3 linked regions of the Callithrix jacchus genome follow. The protein of the gene in region 3 binds, or shares a complex with, the protein of the main gene of each other region. Links are inferred from orthologs where the notes say so. Each region holds a gene or a part of one and is shown on either strand. Other genes may lie near its edges. The genes, in order: THBD, F2RL2 and F2.

The links.
Region 1: the proteins of F2 (region 3) and THBD are in contact, whole or in part, in a crystal structure (PDB 1DX5), measured with the Homo sapiens proteins. The link is inferred for Callithrix jacchus from reciprocal best matches to the Homo sapiens genes F2 and THBD. Residues at the interface, in NP_000497.1 of Homo sapiens: Phe382, Ser385, Pro386, Gln387, Leu423, Arg425, Thr432, Arg433, Tyr434, Arg436, Asn437, Glu439, Lys440, Ile441, Met443, Lys470; in NP_000352.1 of Homo sapiens: Ser424, Cys425, Glu426, Cys427, Tyr431, Ile432, Leu433, Asp434, Asp435, Thr440, Asp441, Ile442, Asp443, Glu446, Asn447, Gly449, Phe450, Asp479.
Region 2: the proteins of F2 (region 3) and F2RL2 are in contact, whole or in part, in a crystal structure (PDB 2PUX), measured with the Mus musculus proteins. The link is inferred for Callithrix jacchus from reciprocal best matches to the Homo sapiens genes F2 and F2RL2. Residues at the interface, in NP_034298.1 of Mus musculus: Phe379, Gln384, Glu385, Leu386, Leu420, Arg422, Arg428, Thr429, Arg430, Tyr431, Arg433, Lys437, Ile438, Ser439, Met440, Lys467, Pro470; in NP_034300.3 of Mus musculus: Thr46, Phe47, Glu48, Glu49, Phe50, Pro51, Asp54, Ile55, Glu56.

The regions. Positions count from the first base shown.
Region 1 is NC_133506.1:30,076,845-30,086,981, forward strand, and holds THBD (thrombomodulin), read right to left. Parts: upstream 5,419-10,137; 5' UTR 5,253-5,418; coding exon 3,537-5,252; 3' UTR 1,760-3,536; downstream 1-1,759. UniProt on the Homo sapiens protein: Endothelial cell receptor that plays a critical role in regulating several physiological processes including hemostasis, coagulation, fibrinolysis, inflammation, and angiogenesis.
Region 2 is NC_133503.1:134,425,368-134,434,199, reverse strand, and holds the end of F2RL2 (proteinase-activated receptor 3), read right to left. Parts: intron 5,766-8,832; coding exon 4,702-5,765; 3' UTR 2,666-4,701; downstream 1-2,665. UniProt on the Homo sapiens protein: Receptor for activated thrombin coupled to G proteins that stimulate phosphoinositide hydrolysis.
Region 3 is NC_133511.1:111,765,502-111,775,899, reverse strand, and holds the start of F2 (prothrombin), read right to left. Parts: upstream 6,840-10,398; 5' UTR 6,813-6,839; coding exon 6,734-6,812; intron 6,355-6,733; coding exon 6,191-6,354; intron 5,528-6,190; coding exon 5,503-5,527; intron 5,260-5,502; coding exon 5,209-5,259; intron 3,167-5,208; coding exon 3,061-3,166; intron 2,965-3,060; coding exon 2,828-2,964; intron 413-2,827; coding exon 98-412; intron 1-97. UniProt on the Homo sapiens protein: Thrombin, which cleaves bonds after Arg and Lys, converts fibrinogen to fibrin and activates factors V, VII, VIII, XIII, and, in complex with thrombomodulin, protein C. Functions in blood homeostasis, inflammation and wound healing.

The sequences.
Region 1 (10,137 bases), on a different chromosome or scaffold from region 3:
TTCCCCTGCACTTATCACTGTTTCTAAGTGAAGTGCAGTTTGGGGGTGATCGGTTGTTTCATCTTTCTCCCGTGCCACAGTCTGTCTTATATGGCAGGGGCTTCTCATTGTGCCCATCACCGTGAAAGGCACAGAGTAAGTGCTCGGTAAACAACTGCTGAACCAATCCGAGAAAAGAGGTGAGAACTGGAAAAACATAACAAGTCATTGGACTTAAAATTTGAATTTTGTTTACTTTATAACCAAAGACTAGAAAACATTAAAAAAAAAAAAAAAAACTTGAATCCCAGCTTATCCAGAAATGTACCTTAGCTTTCTTGCCCTGGCCTCTTGTGCTGTGAAATGCCACAGCAACTGGTCTCTGGGAGTCTCCCTCAGACCTGTATGTCCGATGATGTGAACGGAAAGCAGAGACTGCACAGGTGGATCCCCTGGCTCTGGTTTCATAAAGTCTACACTGACTGTACATGCGGGTGGATAGTTTTTAAAGCTAACTGATGTGAAGTGTGTATGCGGTCCTGGTGTCTTTCTCTGAGAGGCACTGTGGCTATTTAGCTATTTTGAGAATCCCAAGTTCAGAGGAGATTGTAAACAGAACCACTGATAGCTCAGGCAGCAGGAAGTGAGGCGGACAGGGAAGCTCAGGGCCCCAAACAACTAATGTCCTAGGTTTTTGCTCTCAGGACATGAAGGGTTTTTGCCTCTGGGTTTTGGTCTTCCAGTGTCCCTTAAGAAAAGGCCCCTCTTCTGGAATAAGAAGAAATCCTAACGCTGTGAGCCCTTGCAAGTCAATGTGACAGTGACTGGGAGCTGACCCTCTTGAAAAATAGAAGGCTGGGAGCAAATTGTAAGGTGTCACTGTCTCCTCTGTTCTCCCAGCAACTGTCCTGTCCCCGCTTGTGTAACTCTTCCTTCACAAAGACCGTCTACTCCTTAGGGGGAGCTTGGCTCAGCTTGCTATCTCCATAGGGCACTGTGCATGGCAGCTGCCCCAGCACACACACACACACACACACACACACACACACACACACACACTCACGTCATCACTGCATCTGTGATGGATGTCAAAATCTCCAACCCTGTTTTCACAATAACCACTCAAACAGAAACTCACAAATTTGGCTTTATCCAGACATATAAAGCACTTGAATGTTTGCCTGGGCTTTACTTTCTCTTAATTTTTTCTTTAAAAACTCTTTCCGAGCCCTGCATATTGCATTCAGCCAGCCCTACCATCCTAGGAAAGTGAGCCCAAGAAATGTATGCTGTGAAAAGGCACTGTTTTTCATCTCCAACAGAGCTGGGAATGATTTCATTCCTTTAGAAATGAATACTTGAATTAGAGCCACCAGTCGACATCCTTCATGACTGCATTGAATTTGGATATCTCACAGAGCAGATAATGCCAAACCATACACAGGACACACAGCTGGGATTCGCCAGATGCCCCAGGAAGGGTTTATTTAATTCATTCCAACAAATGATCCTGTAATGTACTAAAAAGCACAGAAAACAAGTCCTCATATATGAAGTTGTTATGGTTACGGAAGGAAATAAATAAATATTTGTGCATACGGAGATCAGTGAAAGTAGTAGTAGCCTCTGGAAAGAGCTTTGAAAATCAGAGAGGGTGCCATCCTCAGACAACAGGAGCGCTGGGGTGCAGGGAAAAAGAATTCACGTGTCTCACAGCATTTGCATGGTTTAAACTGAGGGGACTGGGGGAGGAAAACTGAACAGACACACAACCCAAGAGTACACTGTATTTGTTTATTTTGTACAAGTGACATCATAAGCAAGGGCTTTGCCTGTGTTCTAGTTTATCTCCAACAAATAAATAACTATGTACAAATATGTTGAGTCTACAAAATAGAAGATGAAAATCTTTGTCTTACAAAAGATACATTTCTATGATACATTTGTTTCCATCCACTGAAGCAGGTTTTCACTCCTGGCTTAAGACCTTGCAGATCCTGTGTGGCAGTGTCTAGAGCTGTGTACCTAGTCTTTTCTACCAGAGAACAAAGCTACACAATAAAAATTCCTCAGTTTCTTGAAAATAAGGGCCTGACTTGGCCTGCTAGTTATAACTGATCCCTATTTAATGTATTCCAGAAAACTGGAAGCAGACTGGAACCATTGACCTCAAATTACTGAGCAGACTCATCCCCTGCTGATCTTGTTAAATATAGATTCTCATGAACTAGATGGGGTGGGGCCTAGGATTCTGCATCTCTAACCAGCTCCCATGGCAGCCTCCAATTCTTGTTCAGGGGCCACATTCCAAAAGGCCCCTCTGAAATGGTAGAAATTTTCTGAGGACCTGATTAAGGCTGAGCCCTGATTGGGCATCCTCCAGGATCTATTCCCAAGGTCCCTTCCAAAAGACCAGTAGAGCTGGTTTTATTTAGGTCTACCAATGACAAGGACAGTGAGAGACAATTACCAACTGGCATGAATCATGAAGCTCAAAACTTTCTTAAACTGGCTGCTGGAAGGTGCCTGTCTCTCCTCTCAATCCAGAGCAACCTTCTGAACATTTTCAACACTGTCAAAGTAATAATAACAAAAAAAGAAACTGCATAAGAAAATTAGCAACAATTACCATTTTCAGTACAAATCAAAGCAACCACAAAGTTCAGGCTCACTGTTTAAAAAAATAAAGATAAAAATATCTTTGGGTGTAATTTCTATGACAGTCCAGCAACATTAATTCAATGCATTTTACATCTCAACCTTTGCTTAAAATTATTTTGCGCTGAGAACCTGAAATTTCAGGATAAATTAGCAAATCTGGTGAAAAAGCAAAGGGCCATTGTTATTTTGAGTGTTTTTGTTTCTGTTCATGTAGGAGTTTCTGTCTGAGCAGGCAGGTAAGGGCAAAAGAAATAGGGTCAGGCACAGGTCAGGCAGGGCGACTCAGGTGAGCCGGCCCAGTTCCTGAGAGGAGGAAACTAGGAAGAATGGCGAAGAAATGGAGCTTGCTTCATAAATGTGAGAGGGCCAGGAAAAAGAATTCACTAAGATAGTTTATCTGCCACATGAGAAGTGGGAGTTTGTAGAGCGAGATGGGAGAGGTATGCAAAGTGGATACCGGAGACATACAGGTAGGAAAAAAGGAAACAAACAGAAGCCTAAATACTTTTAAAAAATAAATATTTTGCTCATCCCTAGCCCACGAGGTCAAGGTCTGCCCAAAGGGCCGCCAGGCAATAACGCTCACCCTCCTGCGCCCAGTGGTGAGGAGCTGCGACACTTCTTTGCCTTCGTCGTAAAATCGTCATGTCTGCCCAGTGGTCCAGTGACGTCATGGAAGAGGCTGAGGCTCATTCTCCTCCTTCTAATCGGCCTCTCCCCGTTTAGGCATGGAATCAGAGAACACAGCTTGGTGGGGGCGGGGCGGGCCTTCTCCAGCTGTAATCCAGCTAGGGTGCTCTGGGTAGCGGTGGAGTACAGCTGAGGGCGAGGAGGCACAGGAGCGAGAGAAAGCCCACGCCAAAGCCGGGCTCCTGGACGGAGGTCGCTCAGAGTCCCTAAGGCGTCTGCTCGGTCCGCACGTGCTGCAGCACTACCTCCTTGGAGGGGGCCGCGCACTTGTACTCCATCTTGGCCCTGGTGGCGCCCTGCTTCTTGCGCTGGTGGCGTAGGAGGGCCAAAAGCGCCACCACCAGGGACAGGCTGGCAATAGAGATGCCTATGAGCACGCCCGAATGCACGCGCCCGGCGGCCGGGGGATTGGAGGTGGAGCCCGGCGTCGGGCTGACCGGAGGCTCTCCAGAGCCGCCGTCGCCTCCGTCCACCTTGTCGGTGTCACAGTCGGTGCCAATCTGGACAGTAAGGGCCGAGTCGGTCCCGCAGATGCACTCGTAGGTACCCAGGAGGTTGCGGCATTCCCCGGAGCAGAAGCCGCCGTTCTCGCACTCGTCGATGTCGGTGCACATGAAACCTTCGTCCAGGATGTAGCCTTCAGGACACTCACAGTTAGACTTGGTGTTGGGGTCGCAGTCGGCTGGACAGGCAGTCTGGTTGCAAAACATCTGGCACCTGTGCGGCTGCTGGGGCACCGGCGCGAAGCCTTCGGCGCAGATGCAGCGGTAGCTAGTTTGGCCTAAGGGCTGGCACTGGTACTCGCAGTTGGTTCCAAAGCACGGGTCCACGGGCTCCACGCACTCGCCGTCCACCAGGTCGTAGCCAGGGTAGCAGTGGCATTCGAAGCCACCCTGAGTGTTGACACAGCGCTGCGGGCACAGATTGGACTCCAGCATGCAGTCATCCACGTCCACGCACCGGTGCAGGTCGTCTGCCAGCTGGTAGCCGGTCTCGCACATGCACGAATAGGAGCCCGGCTTGTCCGGGTTTCGAACGCAGAAGTGCTCGCAGAGGTCTTCGCAGGACTGCTTCGCGGGTGCGGTGCAGGAGCGCCCGTCTGCCTGCAGGGCGGCGCCGACTGGGCAGAGGCAGCGGGGAGCCCCAGCGCTCGCATTGCACGCGTGCTCGCAGCCGCCGTTCTCCACGCTGCAGTCCCAAGCGCCGGGCGCATCCCTAGTCCAGTGTCCCTGGACCTCCCCAGGCGGTGCGGCGCACTCCAGCTCCAAGCCTAGGGGCGCCACCGAGGCGGAGCTGCCCACCGGCAGCGCCTGAAAGTCCGCTCCGCGGGCCGCGAAAGGGGTGCCATAGGTGATCCGGACGGCTGCAGCCGCGGCGCCGGGCTCCACCACCAGGGGCCTGCAGGTGGCTGGGAAGTGGAACTCGCAGAGGAAGCCATCGGCCTTCACATCACACGGCTGCTCCTCCCAGACCGGCTCGCCGGGGACAGGGGCCCCAGCAGCAGAGACCGAGACGCACAACGGGCCGCAGAGGGGAGCCCCATTGAGGTAGAGCTCCGCCCACCTGCTGTAGCTGGTGTGGTTGTCTCCCGTAACCCACTGGAAGCCGCGCAGGGGCCCGAGGCTGTTGGGGTCGCCGCAGCCTGGTGGCAGCTGCAGGCCGATCCAGAGGCGCGGGCCAACCTCGCCGTCACCACTCAATAGCAAGGAAATGACATCGGCAGCCACTGAGGAGCGCACTGTCATTAGGTGGCCCTGCAGTCTAACGCAGATCTGGCTGGCAGCGAGGAAGGTCGTGGGGCCCGGGTAGAGCGCGAAGCAATCGTGTTCGACGCACTGGCTGCCACCGGGCTGTGGCTCTGCGGGTGCGGGGAGCCCCAGGCCGGCCAGAGCCAGCACGCCAAGGAGGATGGCCCCGAGCATGTTACCCAGACGCGCCGAGTGCAGGCGCTGTGAAAAGCGCAGGCACTGAGACCGGGCCGGGCCGGAGCAGAGGGGCGCAGGACGCCGCTGGTGACAGCCTCTCCTGACCGTCTCAGTCCAGACCCTTCTGGCCGCGGCGCGCAGCCCCTGCTAGACAGCCTCTGACATTCGGATCGGCCGGGGCTCGAGTTTATAAGTGCGCGGCCCTCCCTCCCTGGACGTTCGGGAAAAGGAAGGAAGTGCCTGGTGGGAAGGGCTGAGGCCGCATACTCGGATTGCTGGGTTCTCCGGCCGCCCTGAGCCCGCCCTCGCGCATGGGATCACCTCGCCGGGATGAGTAAACCCGGCTCTGGAGCAGGGAGGTTCTCGGGCGGGGCCGACAGGGGCAGGCGCCAGGAAAGGCCAGCACCCCTGTAGCCAGACGACTGTCCCCGCCCCCACCACGCTGGCCCCCACGCGTGCAGCCCTCCTTCATCTCTTGGACTTCCTTCCTTTCTTTTCATATATGTTGCCGTCACATCCAAGGAAAGCCCGCATTGCAGAGCTCTGGGAATCGGAGACGTCAGCGAAGAGGGCTTGGAATGGGGCGTGGGGGAGATGGTGCACGAAACCTGCAGGACACTGGGAGGGGTGACCCGCACGAAGGGGACTTTGGGAGGGACTGTCTAGGACGTGGACTTCCCCAAAGACAGGCTCGCAAGGAGAGACAGCTGGATCCCGTCCCCTGCCAGGGTGCCTGGCTCAGGGAACCGGCGGAGCGCTTGGCCTCAGAGGACAGTGGGTGTGGCTGGGGTGACGGGACAGGGCGGGGAAGACTGGCCTGACAGCAGCGCCCTCTGCCCCATGGTTGGCCAGGGGGACCCGCGAGTCCCTGGGCAACCCCATCTCGTCACGTGAGGAAGGCGCGGGGACACTATCACGGCTCCTGAGGTCCTGACCTCGCTCAGAGGCCGTGGCAGGTGAATTGCTGCGGCGCGGGGTAAGAGCGGGCGCGTGGGAGCGAAGCAGCCGGGCCGGTTTCCGTCCAGCTTCCGAGGGACGGCGCATCTCGCACCCCAACAGGGTGGCTGGCAGCCCCTCGGGGAGGCGCTGCGGGCTTCCCGCGGGTCCCACTCATGTCAGCAAAGAAAGTTTCCATTTGGTCCAGCGGCCGCATTGATACCGAGATGCACAGAAATGCCACTTGCTTGGCAAAGGGCACTGAGGAGACACGGTCCCGTGGATGGGCGCGGTGAGGAGGGCTGGAGGAGGAGATAGGAACCTGTGGCTTTCGACCTCGTCCGGTAGTTCCCTGACTGGGAATGCGGAGGAGTGGGCCACCTCCTCCGGTCGCCCCCATAACAGTGAGAGGCAAAAGGTTCAAAGACACCCTTGCGTCTCTCCTCCACCGTCCTCACAACGAGCGCCAGGCGGCGGCGCTGTCGAGCTCTAAACAAAGCCAAGGAAGTTGGAGAAGTTTCGGGCTAAAAAGGGTTAAGGTCTGGGAGCGCAGAGGCCTCCCCCTGGGGTAGGAAGCTCCGTACCCCGGCAGCCCCTTGTGGATTCCGCGGCGTTTACCTCTTGCCTCCAGGGTCTCGTAGATTCCGGACATTAAACGAGAACAGAGAGTATGGAGCCTGCACGTGCGAAAGACACGCACCGGGGGGGTGGGCCGGGCTGGACTGGACTGACCCGCCGTGACCAAGTGGGTGGAGCGTGGACACTCCGAAAGCGAAAGGGCTGTCCCACCCCACACCCTCCAGCGCCTTGGGGCAGAGCCTTCCGGAAACGGAGGAGCTGCTGGACACACAGGGGTCTGAAGCTCCCGGAATGCGCACAGCTGCACCTCACCTGACCCGGACCCCTGGGAAGTAGAAGGGAAGGGCAGCAGACAGGACAGCAGAGCTGTCCCCGGCGGGAGCAGGCAGTCGGTGGCTGTCTCGGCTGAATCAATGGTCGTGACTCCGGTGTACAGCCTGCCGACGCGGGACCCAGAAGCAGGGCTGCCTGGGGTGCCGCCATGGGGTTGAGGGTGAAGCTTCAGACAGGGGCAGGAACCTCTTGGGGACACTGCTGAAGGGTCTGAATGTGGGGACGATTCACGGAGTGGATGAGACAAAAGAGGGGACAGGATCCGTTATGGAATCAGAGACCAGTGCAAAGTGAAAATGTAGGGTCCTTTGTTCAATTACAAGGATTTCAAGACTGTGACAGCAAAGCATTAAACAAGACATGGGGCCCTGGGGGGTGATCAGCAGGTCCCTTCTGAGCCTGCCAGCCCTGAAAGGGACTGAGGGACATTAAAGGGTCAGGTCTCACCCCACATACCAGGATGTTTGCATTCTTGGATGGGATTCTAGCTGATGTACCACCACCATGTTTCACTGGACGATCTGTGCGGGTCTGCCTGCACCCATTACTGATTCTTGCAAAGAAAAAAGAAAAGAAAAGGAAAGTGTGAGAACAGCCCCAGTGACTGAGTCCACTGAGAACTCAGTGATGTCTGTGAACCTTGGATCAACCTATATGAGGAGGTGCAGATTTTGGATGTTTCTATATTAGAAAGAAGCTAGAGCAACAACAGTTGGAAGCAGAGCACTGTCCCCATGGGTGGTACCAGTGTCTGGGTTGCCCTGTAGAAGGATGAGTGGGCATGACCCATTTGGCTTTCCCACCCATCAGGGCTTTACCACTGGTGCTCAGGATACCTTTGCCTTCCAGGACCTGCCCTCAGCAGCTTCATTTTTCCTCTTCAGACAGTACCTTGGAGGTTTTTCACATTTTAAACCACCTTGTGGTGAATGAAGGTCCCCTGTCTCTGTTCTTGCCCCACCCCTATCTTCCTATCTGTGCCACCTGCACACCCGGGCGTGCCGCTCCCTCCTATCTCTTTGCAGATGACACTTTCACTTCCCACTCCTTAACCCAGTTCCCGGCTCAGCACCCTCACTGTGGGTCACCAGCAAAGACTTGTTTTACTCCTGAAACAGCTTCCTTGAAGGACACCATCAGGTCCTAAATACTGTGGCCGAAATCTTGTTTTCGGCCATCCTTCAAGAAACCTTGGTGCCATTTGCACTTGTGACCCTTCACCATTCTCAAGGCTCCTCTTCCAATCACTTTTGAGACACGTATTTTCCTCCCCTCCTGTCCTATGAGCTTGCGGAGGCCCCTGGCATCCTCTTGCCCCACCCACTGGAGCAGCTGTTCTCAAGGTTCTGCTGGTGGTCTTCATCATCTATCGCTACAACCCACCTTTTGGTGAACTTACCCATTCCCTTGGCAGTGGTAGCAGTGTCCAAGGAGATTGAGGGGAGCGTGTTCCAAAAGGGACCCCTACCCCATCTTTCCCAGTTCCGATAGTTGGTCTACTGAGGTTTGACTTTCTACTCTCCTCATCCTCTGTCCAGTTTTCGTGTCTTGTTTCTCCTGATCACTGCTCCTGCCTTCTCAATTTGTGTTGAGACAGTTGGGTCCCCAGCTCTTTTCCTTGCTTCTTTTCTCTCCACTGTGGCTGAGGCCACTCTGATCCTCATACTCCCTCAGAGTGCTCCCGCCTACCGGGAGATCCCATGCTCTTTCCCCTCCACACCGAAGAAGATGCTCGCAACAGTGCCTCTACTCTGTGGCCACAGATGAGGAAATTTGCACTCAAGGGGCTGTGCTGGGATTTGGACCCAGAGCCTGCACCCCTTCCACCTCACAAGGCTTCAAGGACCCTTGTCTTACTGGTCTCCATGAATGTGGAAACATCCTGGCAAGAGAGGCTCCTGCTCGCTGTCAGAGAAGCACCATGTCCGCTCACCACCACCTGTGTCTCTTCCTCTGCCATCAGCATTCTCATCTCTGCCCGAATCTTCACCCACTGAAATCTTTCCCTTCTCTCAAGTCCCAGTTCAAGCTTCCCATCAGCAGGTGCTTCTGCTTAAGCAAACCAGAACTGATCTGTCTGTGACTTCCCATAGACAGGACATTCCTTAGTACTCACCACTCCCTCCTTGCTCTGTACCTAATCATGCTTCTACCACACGGTTTGCTGCACGTGGAGTCCCGATTCCCACACATCTTACTATCCCCTTACACGTAACAGCACACTGTAACTAGACCATGCCCGGGACTTATCGGAGCACCTGTGGTGGATGTTTCTTTGTCCTCTCCAGGGTGATTTTCTCACATTCACCTGCAAAGACAAGGGTGGAGGTCCTCCAATCTCAGGGTTAATTAAAAGGGTGGACTTCGGAGCCAACTTGGCTGCCTTGGAGAACCAGCTCTGGCATTCACAAGTTTTTGTTTGTTTGTTTTAAGATTTGACTAATAACCCCGCCCCTCTGTGCCTCAGTTTCCTCAACTGTGTAATGGGAATAGTCCCTCCTTCAAAGTGTTAGGATGAAGACTAAATGGGTCATACATGTAAAGCACTTAGAATGGAGGAGACACAGTCAACTCTTAACAAATTTTAACAAAAAAGAAAACAAGTTCCTAGAATTTGGATTTGGCGTCTGATTGTATTCAGCCTCCAGTATGTTTTGTTGACCATGATAGAGACTCACCAAATGTCTGTTGGATTAAATTTGCTCCAGCCAAGCATTTCTACCGCTAATAACAATAAGTAATTGTGAAAAAATCAGGGACGGAGGCATAGGGAAGAACCTGAAGCAGGTCCTGTCTCCCTGCCCTTCCCATCTGCCCTGGAGACATCCACAGTGACTGTCCTCCTTGCCTCAGGTGTGGAAGCTGAAGGCCAGAGAGAATCAGTGACTCTCCACACAGTCAGTACGTGGTGAAACAAGGCTTCACCATCCTTACGTGATAAGGATGAAAAACGACTGACTACACTGTGGAGTACGTCTGAGTCCCTGTTTTGTCACATACCAGCTGACTTGGCTAAGTTATTTCACTCTCTGGT
Region 2 (8,832 bases), on a different chromosome or scaffold from region 3:
ATGTGTATTGTGGGGAGGGGCACACACACTCTTATATGTGTCTAAAGTATTTCTGGAGGGAGGATACCTTTTGGAAGGTGATCTAGAAGGCTAGTATAGATGGGTGATTTCTTTTTCACTCTGTTTTTGTACTGCTTGGATTTTTAAATTTTTTAAGGAGTGTATATATTACATAATTACTGTTGCTAAACTCTTAAAAAGCATTGTAAATCCTGTCCTCACTACTCCATTGCCTCACTGAAGGTAGAGGAAGGTAACCCCCATGGTGTGCCCTCTGCACTGCCAGCCTTCTGACCAGAAGGGTGGTGGCATTTCCTGACCCTCTGAACTTTGCCAAGTGCCCCCAGTCACATCAGTCTTTCTCATTTAAGCCTCATACCAGCTGTGGAATGGGTGCTGTCTCATCTGATGTGAATGAGCCTGAGGCTTGGGGCGAATGCCTGGCCAAGGTATAGCCAGTGAGGGGTAGAGTGAAGACTCACCCAAGTCTGGTGTCCGCACACCCCAGGAGGAGGAGAGTGGGCTTCTACCTTGCTGCTTCCACTTAGGTGTCTGTGACCATGGCACATGATAAACTTAAAAGCAAAACAAAGTTATTTGCTTTGAAGACAGACATCATTCAAATCCTGGCTTTGCCACAGATTAGTTATACAACCTTGGTCAAGTCACCAAATCTCTCTATTTTTCCACGTATAAAATTGGAATAATAGTACCTGTCTTAAAGAATTATGGTAAGGGTTCAATGCAAATATACAATATGTAAGTATATATCAATATATAACTATATGTACTAATAATTAAGACTATGTGCACATGTGTGTGTAGCTATAGCATTTAGCATGGAGCCTGGCACCAAAAAAAGGACTTAAATAATGTTAAATAATGTAGCTAGTATTATTATGGGCACCTATGGCTGCCTCCCAAGTAAGAGGTGAGTGATGTCAATATCTCAAGGATTTTTTTTTTTTTGAGATGGAGTCTTGCTCAGTTGCCCAGGGTGGAGTGCAATGGCACCATCTCAGCTCACTGCACCCGCTGCCTCCCAGGTTCAACTGATTGTCCTGTCTCAGCCTCCTGAGTAGCAGGGATTACAGGCACATGCCATCATGCTCAACTAATTTTTGTATTTTTGTAGAGACAGGGTTTCACCATGTTGGCCAGGCTGGTCTTAACTCCTGACCTCAGGTGATCTGCCTGCCTCGGCCTCCCAAAGTGCTGGGATTACAGGTGTGAGCCACCGCACCTGGCCTCAAGGTCCTTACTAGACATAGGGTCTGCTCTGTTCACACATCAAAGTCGGGGTCTTCTGAGAACAAACAGAGACACAGATCTGTCTTCGAGGTGAGCCTGACTCCACAAACCCAAGGCCTTTCCATAGGCAGGCAGTATAGGTCTCCTCTAGACTGGGCATTCCAATCTAGATTGAGATGGAACTCCACAGGAGTCCTTTGAAAGAAGCCTTTGAGTGCCCACACCATGCCAGCTCTGTGTCAGGCACCCTTTCTAGGTGTAGAAGGTATAGCTTGCATGGTATGATGAGAACATTAATATGGAGCCTAGGGATCTGGGTTCTAGTTCAGGCATTATACCACTTTTAGCCTATATAATTAGGGGTTTTGAAATATACTGACAGTTGCTAACAGATTTAAAACACTGCACATCTGTGCAATAAATCATATTTGATTAAATTCCTGTTTTTAAGCAAAGTTTTCTTTCTCTGTTTCTTGATTTCTCAGCCTGTTCTTTTTCTCTGGAAAAATCTAATTCTATTGTTCGGCAGTGTCTTTATGTTTGTTTTTAACCTCTGCTTTTTTTTTGGTTTTTTGGAGATGGGATCTTGCTATGTTGCCCAGACTGGTCTCAAACTCCTGGGCTCAAGTGATCCTCACACCTCAGCCTCTCAAAAAGCTGGAATTATAGGCACAAGCCACCACATTCAGCATCCTCTACTATTTTATCCTGGAAGTTTCCAGTTGTGTGTTTATAATGGTATTTCTGTTCCTTGGCCTTCGCAAGGTCTGGCCTTGGAAAATAGGAGGAGAAAATTATATTGCTGACACTATCAGTATAAGTAAAATTTGTGGCAAAGCATATAGCTATTAATGGTCACAATGGGTAATATCTTCATAGAATGGATGCTCAGTTTTATCAAAGACTGAGGACAGTGATGGAAGTTGGTGAGGATTTTTGGTTCTCTTTAGCAGTATTTCAAGTATAACTTTGTGTAGCCTTCAAATTCCTTTTGCCTCTTAGAAAAAGACTTGAATAAATTAGCAGAGTAGAACACTTTTTCTATGTCTGTTCACTGGGTTGTGTGCTATTTTACAATTGAAGGCTTTGCTTGTGAATGTTAAGGATTATACCCTACCAAAAAGTTCTGTTTTGCTCCTTGTATATACCATAAAAATTGTGTGCTTTTAACAAATACTACTGTGTTTTTTTCCCTAGGTAAAACTGTATTATAATTGATGACTTAATTTTCAGAAGTCAGTTCCTTTCATTGAAGTTTTTATCATCTTGAAACTTACTTTAGATTTGTTTTTCATTCTCACTTTAGTGTTTACCTGATTTTTGCTCTTTGCATAACCACACACATAAAGGGTCTTCATGTGGACCCTTCTTACCTTAGTCCAATGAAATAAAAAACTCTACACATTTAAAAATATGCATTTAAAATTGTTTTTTATTGTTTTGTTGGTCATTACAAAATGTACACTCAAGGCAGATTCCTACAGACTTGTAAATTCATCTCAGCAATCCTTTATGCTTAAAGTTTCCTCAACCCCATTTATATTCACTACTACCATTCATTCATCGCCACTAGTATCTTCCCTCCTGTCTAATCACTGAGTTAAGGGAAAAATGGTCATTTACTTACTGTAATATAATGGGTTTTAACAACAAAATTCCATTTCCCCATTAAAAGCTATGCTTAAGAAAAAAAAATAGTGGAGGCGTTATTTTAAACTTCTAAATGGCCTGTGAGTATAGTCTTAGTTTAGCTTCCTTACTTTTTTATATACTCAACCTGAAATGATACCATCCCATGTCATCACAGTATGTTGCTTTTTCAGTATGAAGTCAATGGGCTTTTTAGCTGCTTTGAGATTTTTTAAATTCATTCGGCCACACAGAACGCAAAGCATAGAGCTGGGCCCCACAGAGACTTGGGCCTGGCATCACCCAGAAGTTCAAGGAAGGGAGAGGATGAGCACCTTCTCCATTATCCATGGTGTTTGATTGTTCATGGAATTAAAAAATTTAAATATAAATGAACTATATATAGATGCCATAATAAAAAGTGTGCAAAAGTGCTTTGGAAGTACAGATAAGAAAGATGACAATGCTGGCCTGAGAATCAGGGAAGAATGGTTCTTCGAGGACTTCAGAAATGGACAGAATTAAGGCAAAGATGTCAGGACTAGCTTTTCAGTCTGAGGCAACATGGAGAAATAGCAGAGCAAGAGGTTTGGTTGGTGCCTACTCATCACAAGCAAGATTTAACGGGAAGTTGGATTAGCAAGTTAGCCTTGAATGCCAGGCTAAAGATTTATGATTTATTATAGAAGCAGTGGAGTTAGTAGAGGTGTTTTAGTACTGATATCCAAGGAAGATTAATCTGGCGGGACCTGTGAAATGGAGCGTAGGCTGGCAGTGGAGAGAATGGTTAGAAGGCAGAGGTGGGCTGGGCATGGTGGCTCATGTCTGTAGTCCCAGCACTTTGAAAGGCTGAGATGGGAAGATCGCTTGAGACCAGAAGTTCAAGACCAGCCTGGGAAACAATGAGACCCCATCTCTGCAAAAGATAAAAAATAAAATTCATTGGGTATGTTGGTGCATGCCTGTAGTCCTAGCTACTTGGGAGGCTGAGGCAGGAGGATTGCTTGAGTCCAGGAGTTGAAGGCTGAAGAGAGCTATGATCACTGCACTTCAGCCAGGTAACAAAGTGAGACCCTGTCTCTATTTAAAAAGAAAGAAAGAAAAAAGAAGGTAAAGGTGGAGCTAGATAAAGGATCATGGTGAGGGACCCTGCAAAGATAGAGCCAGTTGATGAGGCAGCCATCAGCATGAGAGTCAAAAGAGACCAAAGAATAAAAAATGATGTCATATTTCAAGGATGGCAGTACCACTCACAGAAATAGGGAAGATGGAGATTTAAAGAGCTTAAAGTTACAATAAGGTAAATGGAAATGTCGTTTTCCATAAAGAGTTGTGATATCTTTTCTCCTGTATTAACATTTTTAAAATACTGATAAAGTGTTTTTAAAAATGACTAATGCTGGTCGGCGTGGTGGCTCACGCCTCTAATCTCAGCACTTTGGGAGGCCAAGGCAGGCGATCACTTGAGGTCAGGAGTTAGAGAGCAGCCTGGCCAACATGATGACACCCTGTCTCTAATAAAAATACAAAAATTAGCTGGGCATGTATGTCGGTAATCCCAGCTACTTGGGAGGCTGACCCAGGAGGCAGAGATTGCCATGTGCCAAGATAGCACCACTGCACTTAGTCTGGGCAACAGAGGAGACTCAGTCTAAAAGAAAATTTTTTTACTGATGCTTTTGTAATGTTTGACCTTTGAAGCATATTTCTTAGGAGCTCAGAAATGGAGCTTCTTGCACTATGCATATGTTGTCCATGAAAACAGATGTCTGTGAAAACAAACATTCTCTGTGATGGCTGTCCTTTTTCTCTAAGATGGTTTCAGCATTTCGTAAGGTAAGCAGTGGAGTGATTACTGATTTTTGACATGAGAAAATAAAGGAATGGATCTAAGCAACTATTCAGGCTGCCCAGGCACAAAGCTATGAGATATATAAAATAGAAGCCATCAGTATTGTTGTTGTAGTAGTTGGCATGGTGAATAATAAGTATAATATTGCTTGGAGCAAAACAAATGGTAAAAATCGCAAGGATGAGGAGAGTCACTTTAACATACCACAGCCATCTATGATCATATGCATTAAGTGTCCGGATGATGGCTGTGTAGCAGTAGATGATAACCACAAATGGAATTAAGAATCCAAAGAACGCCAAGGAGATGAAGTAGTAGAGTTGGAAGGGAGACGAGGACTCACATGTGTTGTGAACATCATGGCAGGTGGTGATGTCTGGCTGAACAAGATAATATTCCTGCTTCAGGATGAAAAATGGCAACATATATAAGAAAACTATTGCCCACACCAGTCCACATGTTAGCAAGGCATAGGTGTGCTTGGGCAGTCCCCGGTAGGTGAAAGGATGGACGATGGCCAGATAGCGGCTGATACTGATGCAGGCAAGGAGCAGAATGGAGCAGTACATGTTGCCATAGAAGATGACCGTGGTGGCCCGGCACAGGACCTCTCCAAATACCCAGTTGTTCCCATTAAGATGGTAAGCTATCTTAAAGGGCAATGTGATACAAAAAAGAAAATCTGCAATGGCCAGGTTGGTGTAGAATACGGTCGTACAGATGGATCTGGTCCTGAAGACAAGCATCCACAGGGTCACAGCGTTGGCTGGCACACCAACTACAAACACCAGAAGGTAGATGGCAGGTATCAGTTTGGTACTTAAGGAGCTGGTGAGGTACCCCATAGTAGCATTTTTCACGTGGAGATGTGAAGCACTTTCTTCAGGGCACTTAATTCTTACAGTAATGGTGGGTCCTGTCCAGCCTTCTAAGGCAGAAGAGGGGAACTCTTCAAAAGATTCTGGGGGAGCTCCACGAAAGGTCTTAACAGATAAGATTGGCTTTGCCAAGTTGTTTGTATCATTTTCCATGCCTGTAATTGAAAGGAAGTATTCACATATATTTATGATTCAAGAGAAAAGAAAACAATGTGTTTCATGCTGTGTAATTTCTGTGATTATAGAATTTAAGATCATTTTTATTTTTAAAAATCATAGATTAGGCACTCAACAAGCATATACTTAATACATGTCATATGCTCCAGGACAACACTATCTCATGCAGAAACAAAAACTAAATGATCGCTCATTGTGTGTAAGGCGTTTATAATACTGCTGGAAGAAACAAAAATAGCACATTGGAACATTATAGGCATGTTGACCATACAGGCATTCAGACAATACTTAATAGATTCAGGTGTTTGAGCAAAATGTCAAGGAAAAGATGAACTTGAGCAAAGACGAGCAAGTTTCATAAAAAGATGAAATTTAATGAGTAAGATTCTGCCAATGATGAATGGGCAGCAGCATAGTATGGGCTAGTAGAGGATCTGGGAATGCCAGATAAGTTGATTTAGCAAATTGTTATTGTACACTTACATGTCAGTGGTGTAAAGTTTTAAATAAACTCCATTTCTATCTGTAAGTAACTCTACTAGTGGAGAAGATGTATAAAAATGCATTGTCTCATGCTAATAAGGTGCAGCTGAGAAAGGAAATTGAAAGAGTGGGTGACAGCTAAATTAATGGAGGGCCTCTAAACTGTCCTAAGAAATCATGCCTGTTCATAGATGCTGGGGTTGCACACACAATTTTGAACACAGGAGTGACCATTGTGTTAGGCAGCATAACAACTCCCCAAAGATTCTACCTGCTAATTCCTGAAACCTACGAGTATGTTCCTTTACCTAGCAAAAGGGGCTTTGCAGATGTAATTTAATTAAGGATCTTAAATTGAGGTTTTCCTGGATCGCCTAGGTGGGCCCAATATAATCATAAGAGTCCATATAAGGGGAAGGTAAAGGCTTTAAGTTAGAGATTTGAAGATGCTATGCTGCTGGCTTTGAAGATGGAAGAAAGGGTAATAAGCCAAGGAATGCAGGCAGCTTCTAGAAGCTGAAAAAAGCAAGATAGCAGATTCTCTCCTAGAGCCTCCAGAATGAACACAACTCCACCAACAGTCTTGATTTTGACCTCTGATCTCCAGAAATACAAGATAATCTGTTGTTTTAAGCCACTCAATTTGTGATAATTTGATATAGCAGCAATAGGAAACTAATATAGCCATGATTTTGACTTGTTTTTAAGATGACTTAGGTGACAGCATAGAGAATAGATTGAAAAGGTAAGAAATTAGAGGCAAGGGGGCCTGATTTGGAGGCTACTGTCATCCATAGCTTAGTGAGTTGCTGAGCTAGAGCATTGGTCATGGAAAGGCAACAGCAAACACCTGAGACTCTGATGGTGGCTCAGAGGGACTTGGTGACTGATTGGCTTTGGGGTACAGTGAGGGAGGGGCAGGAGGCAATACCGACTCAGGTTTCTCTCTAGATGTCTTGGAGGGAGAGGATGCCATTAATTGAGTCCGAGGAAGAGACAAGGGGGCAGGATGGAGGGGAAGCTACAGTCTGTTTTTAGTCTTACTGAGGATGAATTGCTTGTGGAATATTAGTATGTGAAATGTCCAGCAACTGGTTAGAAGACTGTATGTGGGTCCAAAATTCCAGGAGCCCAAATTAGAGGCATGGTTTACTAGTTTAATTTAGTGGGAGTGGTTGAGATGGCCTAGGGAGAGTTCTGAGAAAAAAGAATCCAAAGGTGGATTTTAGGGGAAATGACAGATTTTAAGAGAAGAGGAAACAAAGGAGGGAAAATCAGAAGATGAAATCGGTATGAGGACCTAAGAAGTTGGAAATAAACTTTTTTAAAGATGGAAACACATCAACTATCTGCTATAATTATTTGGTGTTACTTGGCACGTTGATGTTAATAATCCTAATTCCTACAATTTCAAAAACAAAATCTTGAAGCTCAAACCTGAAGATTTATTAGTATGTAATTTATTTGTAAATCTTTCACATGTATAGAAAATAGACTAAGATTTCTGATGTTACCTTTAAGATGGACTTTTATGCAAATTTATATGGACATATTATATTTTATGCCAAATATATTATATTTCAATTTATATCCAGTACTGTGCCTGTTGCGTTTTGTCCCAAGGCCTCAGAATTCCTCCTCATTGAATACTTGAAGTTAGTGTTTAGTAACCTGTTTTTCATTCAGAGCCAGTTTCTCTTCCTGCTTTAATCTCTAGCAGTTAGCTCCGGGATGAAATGGAAACCTCCTGCATAATCCTGAGATTGCACAAGCTGAATTCACTGTGTACAATAGGTGTGGCCTGATAACTTCCAGTATGAAGGTGATCAGGTGTCATTTAAGAAAAGATAGATTAGACGGGCGTCGTGGCTCATGCCTGTAATCCCAGCACTTTGGGAGGCCGAGGTGGGTGGATCACAAGGTCAAGAGATCGAGACCATCCTGGTCAACATGGTGAAACCCCGTCTCTACTAAAAATACAAAAATTAGCTGGGCATGGTGGCGCGTGCCTGTAATCCCAGCTACTCAGGAGGCAGAGGCAGGAGAATTGCCTGAACCCAGGAGGCGGAGGTTGCGGTGAGCCGAGATCGTGCCATTGGACTCCAGTCTGGGTAACAAGAGCGAAACTCCGTCTCAAAAAAAAAAAGAAAAGAAAAGAAAAATGTGGGAGGCAGCATTCCTCTGTGCCTGTATTTAGAGGTGATCTTTGAAGGTATGTTGTATGATACTTGAGTTTAGTTTAGTCACACAAACCCTTCTCACTTTAGCATTTTAGAAAAGTTCTTGCATTTGACATCGCCCAAAGAGAAGTGCCTTTAAAGATAGGCACAAAGCTGGAGACTGATGGCTGAAAAGCATGCTGTACAAGTTATTCACCTGCGGGATCTGATTTTAAGAAGCTATTAAAACCAAGTGTGTTTGTTGGTTTTCAGAAAATTTCTGAGATTGAGCAAGACATTATGTCTCCAGACATGCTAAACGTGCCCGCGTTTTGTGTAAAAATGGATATGATTCCATTTTCCACAAGAATGCCAGATCTGGTTCCACTTAAATAAGTCTTTA
Region 3 (10,398 bases):
CACTCAATGTGGTGAGTGTTCAATAAGCAGAAGCAACTGTTGTTATTCCCGCCAGGATATGTCCCTGCGTCTCAGGCCCCCTACCCAGGCAGCTTACCACAATAGTTGAGGTCGCAGTACTCAAAGTCGCCAGGCCTTCCGGCCACATAACACCACGCGCCCTCCTCGTCCCCATCTGGGTTTCGGCAGAAGTTCTCCACCAGCGGCACAGCTGAGCTGAAGTCCTGGTTCTTGCTCAGGGCCTTGGCTTGCGGGCTGGCCCAGGCCAGGCAGGGGAGCCCACTTGCGGTCACTGCCAGGCGCCCCTGGTACTGCCGCCCCCGATCGGGGACACACCACTCCGATGGAGGTGACAGATTTCCCCCGGAGCCTCTGGAGCGTGGAGTCATCGCTACAGTGACTCGATCCTCACCTGGTGTGTGAGGAAGGAGGAGGCAGTATGTGTGAGACCACACATGGACCGGAACAGACAGGGATGTGAACCCCGATCTTGCTGCTTTCTGCCTGCATGGCCTGAGGTTACTTAACCTCTCTGGGCTTCTGTTTGTCTGCCTTTAAAGGCGTTATCAACGCCACTCTAGCAGGCTTGTTGAGAGAATTAAAATATACAGCATTAAGTGTCTGGCACAGAATAAACCAGAGATAGTAACCAGGTTTGGCCTCCTGGGCTACCTGTGGTCAGCTGGTAGTGACTGTCTGAAGGCTGCCGCAGGCAACTGGGAAAACTCTTATGCTGATGGCAGACACAGAAAACAAGGAACAGAAAAGCGTCATGTGTCCTGAAGGCCTAGGCCCAGAACAGGCACAGTCAGCCCCACTCACATTCCACTGGCCTCTTGGGTTATCTGTAGTCAGCTGATAGTGGCTGCCTGGAGCTGCTGGAGGAGTCTGTGTTTTTTTGTTTTTTTGTTTTTTTTGAGACGGAGTTTCGCTGTTGTTACCCAGACTGGAGTGCAATGGCACGATCTCGGTTCACCACAACCTCTGCCTCCTGGATTCAAGCAATTCTCCTGCCTCAGCCTCCCGAGTAGCTGGGACTACAGGCGTGCGCCACCATGCCCAGCTAATTTTTGTATTTTCAGTAGAGACGGGGTTTCACCTTGTTGACCAGGATGGTCTTGATCTCTTGACCTCGTGATCCATCCACCTCGGCCTCCCAAAGTGCTGGGATTACAGGCGTGAGCCACCGCACCCGGCCTGAGTCTGTGTTTTTATAGGGCACAGCAGGAAGCTTGCTGGGATCACTAAGATGTTCACCTGGAGAGTAGGTCAATTTCTGCAAGCCTGAAACTTATTTATCATCAGTGTGTGTGTGTGTGTGTGTGTGTGTGCATATGGGAGTTGGGGGGTAAATGGTAGCCTTTTTCGTTAGGATGAACTTGCTATAAATCCAATCGCAGGAGCCAGGCGGTGACTCATTCCTGGCTTTGGGAGCCCAAGACGGGCGGATCACCTGAGGTCAGGAGTTTGAGACCAGCCTGACCAACATGGAGAAACCCTCTCTCTACTAAATATACAAAAAATTAGCCAGGCGTGGTGGCGTGTGCCTATAGTCCCAGCTACATGGGAGGCTGAGGCAGGAGAATTGCTTGTACCCAGGAGGGGGAGGTTGCAGTGAGACAAGATTGTGCCATTGCACTCCAGCCTGGATGACAGAGTGAGACTGTTTCAAAAAGAAAAAAAAACTGACCCCAGGAACAAGCAATGGGCCCAACAGGGATGCTTAGAAAACAAAGAACACGAACGCATGTTTGTGGACTGGTAACCAGCACTAATTCTTTACCCCTGCCTGCATCCCCATCCGTTGCTGTGATTTCACAGGCTGAGGTGTAGTTCAATTCTCGACTCTGGCCTTGAACATAGACTTCTGGTCAGTGGAACGCGGGCGGGGCTGACTGTACCTGTTCGGAGCCTAGGTCTTCAGAACAGATGACCTTTCCTGTTTGTTGTTTTCTGTGTCTGCCATCAGCTAAGAAAAGTCTTCCCAGTTACCTGCTGTCTTTTTGTCTCAGCCCCAGCAAGAACACACGTGGAGCAGATCTAGGCCCAACCCTCAATGAGGAGCCAGGCTCAGCTGGAACCATTGTTTGAATCAGAGCCACCCAGCCATGGCCAGCCTCCGTGAATTGACCCTACGGATTCGTCAGCGAGTGCAGCTGAGATCAGCAGCACCACGCCCGCCAACTCTCAGGGCACGAGGCTTGCTCTGTGATACTCAGAACAGAGCATGTGGACTGAAGTGGCTAGGGAGGGCTTCTTGGAGGGAGGAGTGCCTTGATCAGAAAGGAGGCATGTTTGGAATGAGCCACGGCCTGGACCATCAGGAAGTCAAGAGTGGGGAGGGGAAGAAGGAAGCTGGCAGATCTCTGATTCCCTGACTTCACTGTGCAATAGACATAGATATGATATGAATGACTGAGGCCAGCTCTGAAGGTAGCTGGCATCTTTTTTTTTTTTTAAGGAGTTTCATTCTTGTTGCTCAGACTTAAGTGCAGTGGCATGATCTCAGCTCACTGCAACCTCTGCCTTCCAGGTTCAAGTGATTCTCCTGCCTCAGCCTCCTGAGTAGCTGGGATTACAGGTGCCTACCACCACACCTGGCTAGTTTTGTATTTTTAGTAGAGATAGGGTTTTGTCATGTTGGCCAAGCTGGTCTCGAACTCCTGACCTCAGGTGATCTGCCAACCTCAGTCTCCCAAAGTGTTAGGATTACAGGCATGAGCCACTGCACCCAGGTAGCCAGGCATCTTGGTTGCCATCCCAGGCTGCCAGGCCCCAGGAAGCCCCCGGGCCTTGGCTGTGGGCTGCCTCATTGCCCCCAGCTCACCACAGACAGGGATGCTGCATTCCTCCCTCCGCACGGTGGGGTCGGTTGTGTAGCACCAAGGTCCCATGGTGCTGCTGTCAGGGTTGCGGCAGAAATTCTCCTGCAGGTCGGTCTCGGGATGGGTGGTGGTGTTGATTCTGGAACAGGAAATTTCCCAGTAGGAGGCTATGGCCCACGGGGTGTCCCTGCTCCCTGTTCTCAGCCCTTGGTGGGAAGGCCGGCTCATCACTCACTCAGGCTTATGTGGGTAGCGACTCCTCCATAGCTGGCACTCGATGCCTGATGCGGTGACGTTCACATGCCCTCGGTAGTTCGTACCCAGACCCTCCGCACAGTTACCTGTGGGGACCCCACCCCGGTCAGCCTTGGAGCCTGGGGACTTATTTCCTCTCTCCCAGCAAAGTTGTGTCTGTCCCTGCCTCCAAGCTCACAGTGGTCCACAATCCTTAACCTGCATTCACCCAGCTCCTCTTCCTCTCCATCCTGCAGTTCTCCCATTCACTCAACAGTGGCCTCCAAGTATTTGCTGAGTGCTCACCATGTGACAGGCACTGTTGGGTGCTCAGCACGACAAATAGGACAGTTACAGCCCTGCCCTCAGGGAACTTCCATTCAGTGGCTTCTCTTGGCCAGCGGGATGAAAAAGTGACCAAGGTCCTTTTCATCTGGCCCCGGTCTACCTGTCCCTGCTAGCTTGGCTCCTCGTGCCTCTGGGTCTTTCCACGGGCTTTTTCTGCCCGGAATGCCCTCTTGTTTGTTCATCTGGGCATCCCCCCAGGCCAGGCAGAACTCTGCCTCTCCTGGGAAGCTGTCTCTCATTCTTCTGGCAAACCAGACACTCATTTTCCTGTGTTCTCTCGGTGCCTTGAACAGAACTTTTGTTGCAATCACTTTATTTGTTTATGTATTTATTTATTTGTTGTTGTTTTAGAGACGGAGTCTTGCTCTGTCACTCAGGCTGGAACTCAGTGGCACAATCTTGGCTTACTGCAACCTCTGCCTCCTGGGTTCAAGCAATTCTCCCACCTCAGCCTTCTAAGTAGCTGGGATTACAAGCGTGTGTCACCACCCCCTGCTAATTTTTTGTATTTTAATAGAGACGGGGTTTCATCATGTTGCCCAGGCTGGTCTCAAACTCCTGACCTCATGATCCGCCCATCTCGGCCTCCCAAAGTGCTGGGATTACAGGTGTGAGCCACCGCATGCAGCCTGTGTTTTCATTTTTATTTATTTTTTTAGAGATGGAGTCCTGCTTTGTTGCTCAGGCTGGAGTGCAGTGGCGTGATCTCGGCTCACTGTAACCTCTGCCTCCAGGGTTCAAGTGATTCTCCCCTCTCAGCCTTTCCAGGAGCTGGGATTACAGGTGCATGCCACCACACCCCGGCTAATTTTTGTATTTTTAGTAGAGGCGGGGTTTCACCATGTTGGCCAGGCTCTTCTCAAACTCCTGGTCTCAAGCGATCCACCCACCTTGGCCTCCCAAAGTGCTGGGATTAGAGGCTTGAGCCCCTGTGCCCAGCCGCAATCACTTGAACGTTTTATATTTTTTGTTCTCTTTTGAGATTTTGAATTCCTTGAAGGCAGAAATGGTATTTGATTCTCTTAAAATCCCCAGCACCTGATACAGAGCCTGGCACGTAGCGGGAACTTTGTAAAATGTCAGTTGAGTATGTAATTTGACAAATGAAAGTACAGCAGCTGGATGCGGTGGCTCACACCTGTAATCCTACCACTTTGAGAGGTCGAGATGGGAGAATCACCTGAGCCCAGGAGTTCAAGACCAGCCTGGGCAACACAGGGAGACTCTGTCTCTGAAAAATAAATAAATAAATAATAAAGAGCTACAAGTCACAGAACCTGTTGTGCTAAAGGTGCATTCAGAAGACGGTACAGGAGGGAGGGTGCTCCCTGGGGTCTCAGCAAATGTGATGACATTTGAAGCAGTTCTTGATGGATAGGAAAATGTTCAGTGTAGGTGGTGATGGTTGCTTCAGAGGAAACTGACAACATATGCAAGGGCCAGGTGCTAGAAACACCATGGTGCACGCAGGGAAGTCCCTGGTGTCAGAGAAGCTGGGGGCTTGGGTCCCTGTTTGGTGCAATGACACCTAAAGCTAGAAGGGGATGTGACATCATCAGAGCTCTGACTAGGCAGGTGCAGAGACTCGGGTCAGGCAAAGGAGAATGAAGCCTTAAACGTGAATTCATTAATCCATTCATTCATTTGTTCCTCCAACATGTTGAACCCAGGAATGAGAGTGATGTCAGATGCTGGAGATGGCCTCAGACTCCGCCGGCCACACTCCAAGCCCACCCGTGAGCTCCTCTGCTCCCAGGCTCCCCTCCGTGTCCTGCCCCTCAACCCCATGTCAATTGCTCACCTTCCAGACATGCAACGAGCTTCTCTCGAGGCGTCCTCACCAACTCACAAGCTGGAAAAGACCCAGGTGTTTACCTTTGGGACTAGGGTATGGCTGGGATGGGCTGGATTCAAGGGTGGATGAGATGATGTGGAGAAACAGAGAGATGGAGGGACAGAAGGGAGGGAGGAAGGAAGGAGTGGGGAATGGGGGGATGGGTGGCTGGCTGGGTGCAGCGGAAGATTCTCTGGGTGGAATTATCTCACCGGGGTCCCCAGGCCTCCCTTCCTGGGGCAAATCCTTCCCAGTGCTCACCTTTATACTTGGTCCAGAATACATCCTGAAAAACAAGGGCTGGGAGTGAGGCTACAGCGGCTCCTGTTTGTTTTAGTAAACATTATGTCTCCTCCTGATACTTTGCTTTACCCTAGTCACGCAGCGGACAGGCTCTGGGAGGTTTGTGGCAGAGCTTCCTACTTTTGTTTCCAAAGGAAGAAGAATATTTGAGGATAGGGGAGTTCCTCCAGCACACACACCGAAACTGAACAGTGCTGGGGGAGAGGGGAGGAAAGGGGACTGCAGGACCCTGGCAGAGCCCTACAGGCAGGGAAGGCGACACAGGGTTCCAGGAGCACTGAGTCTTGAGTCTGGGGCTCGTGGTGGCCTCCCCAGAGTCCCACCCCTCAATGGTGGCACAGGAAGCTGCCGCTGAGGAGGCCACGTGGACCCGGGCCAGGGTAGATGGATGTCTGAAGACTGAGGAGGACTCCCTCATGTCATGGGGCTGCACAGGACCCCGGAACCTTGACACAGTACAGGCACACGGACCCCCAAGAAAAGCTGAGGCTGCTCCTCTTGCCAGCCCCGGGAAGAGGGACTTAGAGTTGAAATGAGGCAGTGAGCAGCAAAGGGGCTCTGGCGTTCCTTGCTCGCCTCTCTGTGGAAGTGTCTAGAGTTGGGCCCGCTCTGAGGCCCCGGGCCCGTCCGAGCAGCCCAGGCTCACCGTGTCTGTGCGTGACTCCAGAGCCTCGAAGGCCTCCTCGTAGCTGCAAATTTCCTCTATGCACTCTCGCTCCAGGTTGCCCTGACGCATCTCCTCCAGGAAGCCGCTGTTGGCTCGCCGGGCCCGCGGGAGCAGCGACAGCGCTTGCTGAGGGGCCAGGAACACTGCAGGGGGGCGGGGGGTGTCATGGAACAGCGGCCTCAGGAGCAGGCTGTCTTGGCCATTGTAGAGGCAAGAAGCCTGCCCTGCCATGCTGGCTTCTGAGAGGGGCTGTCTGGGCTGGTGGAAGTATCTGGAAGGCTGCTAACTGTGGCCCCCTGTGCCCTCCTACACTGCCCCTTGCCCCCAACCTACTCCCCATATTGGAAGAGAGAAGCAGCCATTCTCAGGCCCTGAACTCCCGACTTCTTCCTTCCGGTGGCCGCCTGGGGCTGAGACCTACCTTGGGACCAGCGCTGTGTGCTCTGTCCAGTCAGGAGACCCCAGCCCATGGGCCCACACCCCAATCCTCCAGTCTGTCCCAGCCTGCAAGCACCCCCTTACCATGCTGGCTGTGCACAAGGCTACACAGGGCAGCCAGGGCCAGGCAGCCAGGCAGCTGCAGGCCTCGGACGTGCGCCATAGTGCGGCGGCTCCTGGGTCACTGAGTGATTGTCCATCCTGACCCCTCTGGGTTAATGTTGAACTAACATGAAGAAATCAGTGGAGAGGGTGAGATCAGAGGGTCAGGGCCATGGGGACAAGTTGGTAGATAGTCCTCCTGTCCACCCCCACCATCCGAGAGGACAGATCCTCCTGGGACCAGGGATGGATGGTCAGGAGAGTCACAAAAAAATGTCACACATCATCTCCCACCCTCCCTCTCTGAGTCTCAAGCCAACTCTGACCAGTTGAGCTTTGAGACATTCCTGGAGCTCCTTCCAATCCTAACATACAGTGGTGGTTGATTTTAATCTCTGCGTGCCTCAGTTTCCTCATCTATACAATGGAATAATACCTTTTTATTTTTTGAGACAGATTTTCTCTCTTGTTGCCCAGGCTGGAGTGCAGTGGCATAATCTCAGCTCACCACAACCTTCACCTCCCAGGTTCAAGTGATTCTCCTAACTCAGCCTCCCAAGTAGCTGGGATTGCAGGCATGTGCCACAACACCCGGCCTATTTTGTATTTTTAGTAGAGATGGGGTTTCTCCATGTTGGTCAGGCTGGTCTTGAACTCCTGACCTCAGGTGATCCACCCACCTTGGCCTCCCAAAGTGCTGGGATTACAGGTGTGAGCCACCACACCTGGCCGGGAATAATACTTTGTTGCGAGGACTAAAGGAGATTAGGAATGAAAAACCCATGGAATATCATAACCTCTTAGTAATCAGTAGGTCTGTGCATATAAGCCAATGTGGAGGTTTGTGTAATTACAATACACAGATATCAAAAATAGAGACAAAGATAAAAGGTGTGGCCTGATGGAACTTACTTCTGGACCTAGGATGCACCAGGGACAGTGCCCCAGCCTCTCAGCCACTGGAGGAGGGGCCTATTTTCCTCTTTCCCATCCAGGGCACCTGGATGGAGTGTGTTTGTGTGTGGCAGCTGCCTGGGAGGAGGAGTCAGGTCCAGGGATTCTTGGGCCTTTGGTCTATCCTCTGTCACTTCCCAAGACCTGCACCTGTCCCGGAACAGGAGCTAGTCCAAATCTGGGTCTCCACTACAGGGCCCTCCCTCTCCCTGCCTGCCTGCCCCAGACTAGGCCTAGCGAGGCTTCTGGTCCTACCCTGCCCTCCTCCGCTCAGCGCTACTCCTGTCCCTCCTCCATTCCCTGTTTGCTGTACAAAAGGCAAATATTAGTCCTGGGTCTAAGTAGGACAGAGGGACAAAGAGCAGGAACACCAGGAGGCACAAGTTCTCGCCTCACCTGCCCTTTGGGCCTGGCTGTTGGGGGTCTGGACCAGGTCATGCACGGTGTGGGAAGAGGGAGCGCTGGCAGAAAACTAGAGACCAGGACTCCCACAAAGACCTTAATTCCTGGGAGGCCCATTTCTTAATATTTTTTTTAGGCCAGGCACAGTGGCTCACACCTGTAATCCCAACACTTGGGGAGGCCAACATGGCAGGATTGCTTGAGGCCAGGAGTTTGAGAACAGCCTGGGCAACATAGCGAGACTCTCATCTCTACCAAAAAAAAAACTGAAAAATTAGCTGGGAATGGTGATGCACGCCTGATGTCCGAGGCAGGAGGATCATTTAAGCCTGGGAGTTCCAAGCTGCAGCGAGCTATGATTGCACTACTGCACTCTAGCCTGGGTAATGGAGTGAGACCGTGATTCTTTTTTTTGAGATGGAGTTTCGCTGTTGTTACCCAGACTGGAGTGCAACGGCATGATCTCGGCTCACCGCAACCTCCACCTCCTGAGTTCAAGCAATTCTCCTGCCTCAGGCTCCCGAGTAGCTGGGATTACAGGCACGCGCCACCATGCACAGCTAATTTTTGTGTTTTTAGTAGAGACGGGGTTTCCCCTTGTTGACCAGGATGGTCTCGATCTCTTGACCTCGTGATCCACCCACCTCAGCCTCTCAAAGTGCTGGGATTATAGGCGTGAGCCACTGTGCCCGACCCGATTCTTTTTTTTTTTTTTTTGACATAGAGTCTCGCTCTCTCGCCCAGGCTCAAGTACAGTGGAAGAATCTCGGCTCACTGCAACTTTCATCTTGCTTGTTCAAGTAATTCTCCTGCCTCAGCCTCCCAACTAGCTGGGATTATTTTTGTATTTTTCGTAGAGACAGGGTTTTGCCACATTGACCAGGCTGGTCTCAAACTCCTGACCTCAGGTGATCCACCCACCTTGGCCTCCCAAAGTGCTGGAATTACAGGCATGAGGCACCGTGCCTGGCCTGCTCAACATGTTTCTAAGATTCGTGCATGCTGTCGGTGTCAGGAGTTCCTTTCTTCTAATGCTTTGTGGTCTGTCACTGAATGAACATAGCACATTTTATGTGCTGTTCACCTGTTGATGGGGGTTTGGATATGTTTTCAGTTTGGGGTTATTGTGAAGAGTGCTTCTATGAATATTCTTGTACAAATCTTCAGGGGTAAATAAGCACTTATTTCTGTTGGGTATATGCCTAGGAGTGGATTTTCTGGGTCATAATATAAGTGTATGTTTGTTTGTTTGTTTGAGATGGAGTCTCACGCTATTGCCCAGGCTGGAGTGCAGTGGTGCCATCTCGGCTCACTGAAACCTCCACCTCCTGGATTCAAGCGAGTCTCTTGCTTCAGCCCCTGAGTAGGGGTTATAGGCATGGACCACCACGCCTGGCTAATTTTTGTTGTTTTTTTTTTGTTTTTTTTGAGACGGAGTTTCGCTCTTGTTACCCAGGCTGGAGTACAATGGTGCGATGTCAGCTCACTGCAACCTCCGCCTCCTGGGTTCAGGCAATTCTCCTGCCTCAGCCTCCTGAGTAGCTGGGATTACAGGCACGCACCACCATGCCCAGCTAATTTTTTGTATTTTCAGTAGAGACGGGGTTTCACCATGTTGACCAGGATGGTGTCGATCTCTTGACCTCATGATCCACCCGCCTCGGCCTCCCAAAGTGCTGGGATTACAGGCGTGAGCCACCGCGCCTGGACCTTAATTTTTGTATTTTTAGTAACGATGGGGTTTCACCATGTTGGCCAGGCTGGTCTCAAACTCCTGACCTCATGATCTGCCCACCTGGGTCACCTATAATCCCAGCTACTCGGGAGGCTGAGGCCTAGGCCACCTATAATTCTAGCTATTCGGGAAGCTGAGGCATGAGAATTGCTTGACCCCAGGAGGCAAAGGGTGCAGTGAGCTGAAATTGAGTCACTGCACTGCAGCCTGGGCTACAGAGTGAGGCTCTGTTAAAAAAAAAAAAAAAGAGAGAGAGAGAGAGCACTGGTTTAGGAGTCCCGTGCTTGGTATCACCATCTGTAACATCAGGATTATAACATCATTCACCTCACAAAGGTATTGTTGAAAAAATTAAATAAGTTTGAGATAACACTGGCCTTTCTGCAGACTTATTTTTTTTTTTTGAGATGGAGTCTCACTCTGTTGCCCAGGCTGGAGTGCAGTGGCTCACCCCATCACCACGCCCAGCTATTTTTTGTATTTTTAGTAGAGATGGAGTTTCACCATGTTGGCCAGGCTGATCTTGAACCCCTGACCTCAGGTGATCCATCCGCCA